Linked DNA regions of Yarrowia lipolytica. The protein of the gene in region 1 interacts with the protein of each later gene in a pairwise test. Links are inferred from orthologs where the notes say so. Each region holds a gene or a part of one and is shown on either strand. Other genes may lie near its edges.

What was found.
Region 2: the proteins of YALI1_B24564g (region 1) and YALI1_D14156g interact in a two-hybrid assay, tested with the Saccharomyces cerevisiae proteins (2 studies listed by BioGRID). The link is inferred for Yarrowia lipolytica from reciprocal best matches to the Saccharomyces cerevisiae genes MGL2 and MRP8.

Annotation. Positions count from the first base shown.
Region 1 is NC_090771.1:2,454,182-2,458,356, reverse strand, and holds YALI1_B24564g (uncharacterized protein), read left to right. Parts: upstream 1-1,950; coding exon 1,951-3,393; downstream 3,394-4,175. UniProt on the Saccharomyces cerevisiae protein: Converts monoacylglycerides (MAG) to free fatty acids and glycerol. Has a preference for palmitoyl-MAG. Does not play a significant role in ethyl ester biosynthesis. Also possesses ester hydrolase and low but persistent TAG lipase activity.
Region 2 is NC_090773.1:1,414,208-1,417,612, forward strand, and holds YALI1_D14156g (uncharacterized protein), read right to left. Parts: upstream 1,474-3,405; coding exon 802-1,473; downstream 1-801. Other genes in the region: YALI1_D14125g (uncharacterized protein), read left to right, coding at 1-474; YALI1_D14180g (uncharacterized protein), read right to left, coding at 3,152-3,405.

The DNA.
Region 1 (4,175 bases):
TCTCTACTCGATATCTTTACCGTAGTACATACACACAAGAATGCAGCTCTCTTATTGTCCCTTCATTTATCCCACTAATTGTTTATAACTAATTACACATTGTACTGTAGCTGCCTTCGAAGTAATCTAGTTGGGATCATACTTAAATTGAGTGGGTGGGCTCGTTGAAGTGAAGTTAACTACGCAGAAATCAATCCCGTCTGGAATTCAGCATCACAGACAGCCTCTTCCACCCTACAATTCCTTTGGTCCTTCATGGCATTTCTCGGAGCTCAGGTTTATAGCTTTCATTTATGGCCCGAGTCTGCCCGTCGAGTCTGTTGTAAAAACGAGAGTTAAAGTGAGCAGCTGGAGAGGTGGCTTGAATGGGAAGAGAGTGATTCTCAGATGGACGAGTAAGGCTGAAAAGAGCAACAATAAGACACTTTTTTCGATCTTAGTCTCCAGATGTCGCTCTTCTGGGTATTATCAGGGAGCTATGGCGAATCATACAAGTCAAATATACTTAGTTGATGGAGTCAAGTGTGTACTTCATACTTAACAGGGCATGGCCCAGCACTTGGTTTATGACAAAGGAGGTTGGCAATTATACGTGTCTGATTGGATTATATATCCCCATTGCAGTCCAACCACGTGCTGGTATCAATCCAGCTACAGATCGGGCTCTAGGCGGCGCAGGACGGTGCAATATTTGCTTGTTTCAAACGTTCGTATTCGGCAGTTCCAAAGCGAGCAGTTTGGCAGCAGCTGGGAGGAGGAGGTTCGTGGAGCAGTCAGAGGTTTGTTGAACGACGTGATAAAAAGAGAACAATGTGGAAGAAGAAAAACACACCAATCAAATGAGCTGATCACGTGATTACAATTTCAGCTTTTATTTTCCAAGTACTCCTCCACCGGACGAGATTGCTCTGCTGTGCTCCACCGCTCTTACCGAGACCCTGCTTGATCAAGGCTTGTCGGACAATTACATTAATCCGTCCGAGTCAAAATTAAAGGAGGGCTCTGGAAGCCGATAACGATGGCAACCAGGGAAGCAAAAACAATGCCAATGAGCCGAAGGCCGAGTTTTCGCGACTCGGTGCATAATCCCCTACCTATCCCACTCTTCACACTCCGTCCCCATTTTATATCTTGACCTGCAAACGTGTGCACAGCCCCCTCCCTCTTACAGCCAAATAAAAAAAAAGACCTGTCTGGCCTTACTATAATTACTAGCACTGTACGTGTCTCGTGCACCGTGTGCGAGATTGTCCCTTTTGCCGACACCAACCTCCGATACCTCGGCTTATCTGTTTGGGTGCGCGCATTCTGTGCGTATACGCGGGCTCTTCGACGCAACTTTGCGGATTTTCAACTCAACAAGACGCAGCACCAGACAAAAACTCCGGCTGGAGACGGAATCGGCGTTAGCGTAGCTTAAAGCCGATCCGAGAAGACGAGGGGGCGGGGGAGTCTTGTCGTTGCGGAGGGGACAATGCTGGTACATGCTACGCAACGGAAGCCAGTCCAAAAGTCGGACTGCGCTAAATTCGTAACCGGCAACCGTAATCGCACGTCTATTCGGAATATCCCTCTGGCGTCAACCGTGAAGGCTCTTAAACTCACGTCCAGTCAAAGTCATTGCTGACGTGACGTTGACTTTGGCGATATGACTGATGAGGTACAGTGGGCAATGAGCGGCACAACGAGCCCGAATTCCCCAAGAGCACTAATCACATGATAATATCTCATAGAATGATCAGTCGTATACGTGATTTTCGGCTTAACAACCCGCTCCCGCTTCTCGGCCTCGTTCCCCCTATCCCTCATTTATCTATCACGCCCCTTTTAACTCGTCATGCAGCAATTTAACGGCGGCCTGCAAGGCTTATTTTTTTCGCATCACATATATAAAATCTGGTGCAGCCATTTCTGTTACTGAGACCCGACCCGAATCGTACTTCGCACATCATGAACCCCACTATCGAACGATCCGCACGGCTGGCCGACTACGTCTGGTCGTTTCTGGGCGCACACAAGGTGGTGGTTGGCCTGTTTCTGGCCGCCTACTTCATTTTCAAGTCACGAGACCATGTGAAGATCACCAAGCCCAGAAAACCGTTGGAGCTGCATCTCAAGAACGGCAAGACTGAGTCGCTCGACGCTCTGATCCAGCAGGTCCCCGGCCTCAAAAACGGCGACACTCTGTGGTACAACCCTCTCAAGATCCTCAACCATGTGCAGACCATCATGGCTTCTCAGAACGACCTCCATGGCACCGACCTGGTCTACTACGCCCGACGAATGGTTGATTTCGACGACGGCGTTCAGATTGCCGCCGATTACGTCGTCCCCGCCCCCAAGACCCCTGAGGAAAAGGCGGCCTGGAAGAAGGGACTCGAGTACAAGCCCGAGGAGAACACCCCGAAGTTCCCAGTTCGAACCCGATACAAGCAGCCCCAGGAAGTGGAGCTCGACCACAGCGACGACTCCAAGCCCATGCTGATTCTTCTCCACGGCCTCACCGGCGGCTCTTATGAGTCCTACGTGCGAGCTGTTGTTGCTAAAATCACCTCTCAATACAACGCTTCTGCCGACGGAACCCTTGTAGACTTTGAGTGTGTTGTCATGAACACTCGAGGATGCGCCCGAACCACCATCAAGACCCCCGAGCTGTTCAACGGCTGCTGGACCGAGGACGTGCGAAGGTTTGTCAAGGATATGCGAAAGCGATACCCCAACCGGCGATTCTACATGGTGGGTTTCTCTCTTGGAGCCTCCATTCTCGCTAACTACCTGGGCCAAGAGGCCGAGGACATCGACATTGAGGCTGCCTGTGTTGTTGCCAACCCCTGGGACCTGTGTGCCTCATACTACGCCCTGCGAAGCTCGTGGTCTGGACGACACCTGTACAACCCCCAGATGGCTAAGAACCTGCTGCGAATGCTCCGAAACCACCGGGAGGTCATGAAGCGAAACCCCATCTACGACGAGTCGCTGACTAAGCAGGTCAAGTCCATTGTCGACTTTGACAACCTGTTCACCGCCCCCATGTTCGGATTCGACACCGCCACCGACTACTATCGACATGGCTCGTCGTGTAACCGAATCATGAACATCCGAGTCCCCACTTTGATTCTGCATGCCCTGGACGACCCCGTGGCTCCCGGCTTCCAGCTGCCCTACCACGAGATCAAGCGAAACCCCTACACCGTCATGGCTGCCACCAATCATGGAGGACACATTGGCTGGTTCCACTGGGGCAAGGACAAACGATGGTTCCCCTCCAAGATTGCTGGTTTCTTCTCGCAGTTTGAGAAGGAGGTGGATCACACCAAGGACAACAACACAAAGGTGGAGCGACTGGAGCGTCGGTGGGAGAATGATAGACTTCGAGCTGTTCGATACGATTAGCCCATGAACGATGCAAACCCATGAACGAACTTCACCAGTAATTAGAAATATAGATTAACAAAAGTATTAGATAACATAACACAATGGGTGTAAGTGTATTAGTTTGGGCATTGTAATGATTCCGTTCGTAGAGCGTATAACACTATGTGCTGTATATCACTCATTCTTCGTATATACAAAATCTCTTTGTTTGAGATATGGGACTCAATCAAATGTTACCGGTACTAAAAGAACACAAAGAGCCTTGATCAATTGATGCTGTTTGTCTGCGTACCACACCAGTCTATCTTAGACAAGTTTCAAACTTCTCATGGTGCCTGCTGTCCTGCAATTTCATGATAATCAAAAATCAGTAGTTGTATATAACTAAAGAATGATTAAACGGGTCACGTAAGTGCTACCAGTATCGCCATTATCATTCCATACAATTTTATGCTCAGTTCATCTTAAATATCCTCCAAAACACTCTCTACGCACACCCCTCTATAGCAGGTCACATCCAGAACAGTTTCAAAAATTCGAAGAAGACACACAGGAGACATAAGAGTAATATTGGGGCATACTTGGAGATATTATAGTTAATTTAATGCTACTTTTTCTCTTTCACAAACCTCCAGATACTTCAAAAATCGTCACCCGAAAAAAATGACACTTTTCACTGTGTGGTTGTCACTATTTCTTCCAGGTCATGAAAATCGCGCCGATGGTTTAGTGGTAAAATCCATCGTTGCCATCGATGGGCCCCCGGTTCGATTAGCTCAACGCACCCCCGAACTCAACGG
Region 2 (3,405 bases), on another chromosome or scaffold:
ATGGACCGGCTTTGGAACTTCACCTACAAGATGAACAACTTTAGAGAGAAGATTGCTAACGAGCTGGTGGCCGACGAAGATCTCAAGGAAAACACATATGGAAAGGCGGTCTGGAGAAATTGGTCGCTGGACAAGTTTCTGCGACGAAAGAGTGACTGGTGGGTGACTCTCCATGCCACTGATGACGCTTTAGCCAAGGAGTACGAGGAGCTCGGAATCCCTCTGGACGCCAAGTCTCTGGCCAATCCTGGACAGAAGCGATTTGGCCGAGGTGGAGCCCGAATCATCACTCGAGGAGGAGGAACTTTCCCTCGAGGAGGAGGTCGGGGCCGAGGAGGTTTCCGAGGAGGTCGAGGCGGGGCTCCCCGAGGAGGATTTGGAGGCTCTGATCGAGGAGGATTCAAGCGAGCCAACGGAGGAGATGGAGAAGACGCCTCTGGAGACCGATCTCGAAAGAAGGTCCGAAACGAGTGATTTAGAAAAGCATTATATAGTTAACGGGATATGGCACAGATATCTGATCAGATACGGAGACGCTTGAGTGGCGTACCTATAAGTAGTCCTCTATAGGCCGACATGTAATACAGTATTTAAACATCATCATCTATCATCTGCTTTTTTTTTTTTCACATTGTCCTCAAATGAGGAAACAAAAAACTAAAATAATATACTGTGTACTGTTTCTCTCTCGATTGGTGGTCTCATGGTTGTCATTTTTTCGCTCATTATTAATTCGGCCTCGAAAAAGAAGAATACCGGAAGTCGTAATGGATTTTGTATCAATAGTCATAGCGGGCACATCTACCAGGCGTTGGTGCCTCGTCGCTCCCGCAGACCAAAGAACCGGGCGAGAGTATCAAATCGCTCAATGGCCTCCGCCTCCGACAGTTCAGCAGACTTTCGGGCGTTCTCCATGGCCTCCTCAAGCTCCTCCTTGCCCAGCACCTCTTGGAGCTTGGCAAGTTCGGCTTCGTCCGGAGGCAGCAGCTCGTAGAACCGCATCCACTGTTCCACCTTGGCATTATCGAGCTTCTTGAACTCTCCCAGGGTCTTGGGGAATACCCAGTCGGGGTGGGTTTCGTCGTCGAGCTCCTGGGCGGGGCACATGCCATCAATTCGGGGCAGCGAGGCAATGAGGTCGGCGTCTTTCTGGGCAAAGGAGTTTGCGGTTCGTCGGATCGACTTAGTCTCGAGGTTGTCGAGCTGGTCCTGGAGTTCGGTCACAAGCACCACGAGATCCTCAGAGGTGACGGCCTGGCTGTCTTCGGACGATGAAGCCTTGTCCTTTTGCGACTGGACTGGCTTGCCTTCCACGTCGGTGATTGTGAGGTTGTTGAGGGCGCCCTTCTCCTGGTTCACCTGGATGGAGAGCACCTGTTTGCCGGTCTCAGCGACCAGCCCGGTGACTTTTCGGAGCTGGGCAGAGAGAAAGTCGACCTCCTTCTTCAGGCTTTCGATTGTGGGCTCGGGCATGGCGGAGGTGGTGCAAAAAGGATGTTTTGGGGGTGTTGTTTGTGTAAGGGAGAGTTGTGGAGATGTCGAAACGCAGTGTCTGGGCGGTTACGGTATCGTGCAGTAGCTAGTTGAGATGCGTCAACTAATTCTAAATGAGCACTGCGCCAAGGTTTCCGGGGATGTCGTTTGTTTCACCGAGCAGGACAAGTCGTTGTGGTAGTACGAGTACGTACGTGCTTGTATACGATGAGTCCGCAAGGTTTGGTTAGAATGAACAAAGAAAATACGATGGCGCGATCTTAAACCTGAGTGTTTCCGATCGGAGGTGCTAGAGAGGCTCTTCAAAGCGCGTGTGCTGCGGGTTGCTGGTTGCAGGCCCTATCTGTTTTGAGGTACAGTACGACACACTGTAACGGTTGTCGGGGTGTAAGAGCTCGTAGTCACAGCCGTTCGATTCGGGGTTGAGTCAATAAAGAGAGCCAAGGGCGTTGTAAAAGAAGGCGGAGGGCGGAGGGCGGAAACAAAACAACATAAGGAGCAGCCGGCAAGATTTATATACAAAGCACTTCTGCTCCAGAGGACAGCTTAGTTGACTCGCGCACAGCAGGGTCTCACTCTTTTTCATTTGTCGCTTTAAACTCGACATTTCTTCTCCTATGATACGTGAACGTTGTCCCTATAACACTCAGGACAAAGCTGTGCACTGCTGACTTGACCCGCCATGTATGGACAGCAGCAGAAGGCCATCTCTCGTTCCTGCACGAGAAAGAGACCGGGTGCTCGGACCAACGCGCAATCTCGTCTGTTTGTTGCCTCCTCTGAAACGTTACAAGTACCGTCATCTCTTGAGTCAAGTGTCGTCACCTACAAGTAGTACGGAGTACCGTAGTCGAATACGATATCGTACTGCTGCTTGTTGTACAGTACGTACACACAATTCGGCACAGATCACCGCACTCTGACTGCCGACTTTACCGACATATCATAAAACTATGGACCCACCGATAACTACAGCTGCGGTCTTAACAGCAGCTATTTCACCGATAAATTCCCCGACGTGCATCCGCTGATACACTTGATATAGACATAAGGCTTCGCAGCACCAGTCTTGTTCTTTTTTGACCTTCATTTTTCAGTTCATAGATTGTATGGCGAGCCAAAGCCAAAGTCCTGCTACGACGTTAAATAACTGCCTGTGGTTCTGGACGAATACGGGCCACACGCCGACCAAACAAATCTTATCAGCGTGAGAGAGCAATCTTCTCGCTATAGCCGAGCCGGGCCCTTGCGCAACGCCCAGAGTTTTCTGTGGACGTGCTTGCTTGAGGGGAGCATGCCGTTAATAAATAATAGCTAAAGTGCGGTACCAAGCTGGGAACTATTAGGAGAATACACCATAAAATTTATATACTATACTCTACATACATGCTTGTATATATTGGGGCAAATAACCGTCCAGTTATACCTATCTGATGCTTAGAGGGGGTCTGAGAGGATGCGGAACCACCCAAACGGGCCTTGTATAAATGGCCACTTATGAGAGCAAACAAAAAGCAGTTTGGGGTCTGAGTGGAGGCAAGCCGTCGTCATGAGATCGAAACACCATGAATTACATGGTGGTTGAAAGTTAGTTGGTGAATGGGTTGTCTCGAGGCACACACCGCGTTACGTCTTTCGCTCCAGCCGCACGTTTACCCTAGCTCTCTTCAAGCTCACGTGACGATGGATACGAGGGGGCTCTCTCAGTACTTGTACTTGTAGCTAGACAAAAGTCCGGTTGCTTCGTTTCAACGCCCGGAGAAGACTCCTTGGAGCTTTCAGAAGACAACGAGTCCGCCACCGAAGCAGGAGACACACTGCGAGAGTGGTCGGAAGCGTCTGGAACGTGCCCACTGTTCACTTGCTTCATATACTCTCTGAACTCGAGCTGTTTGGAAGCAAAGTCTTGGA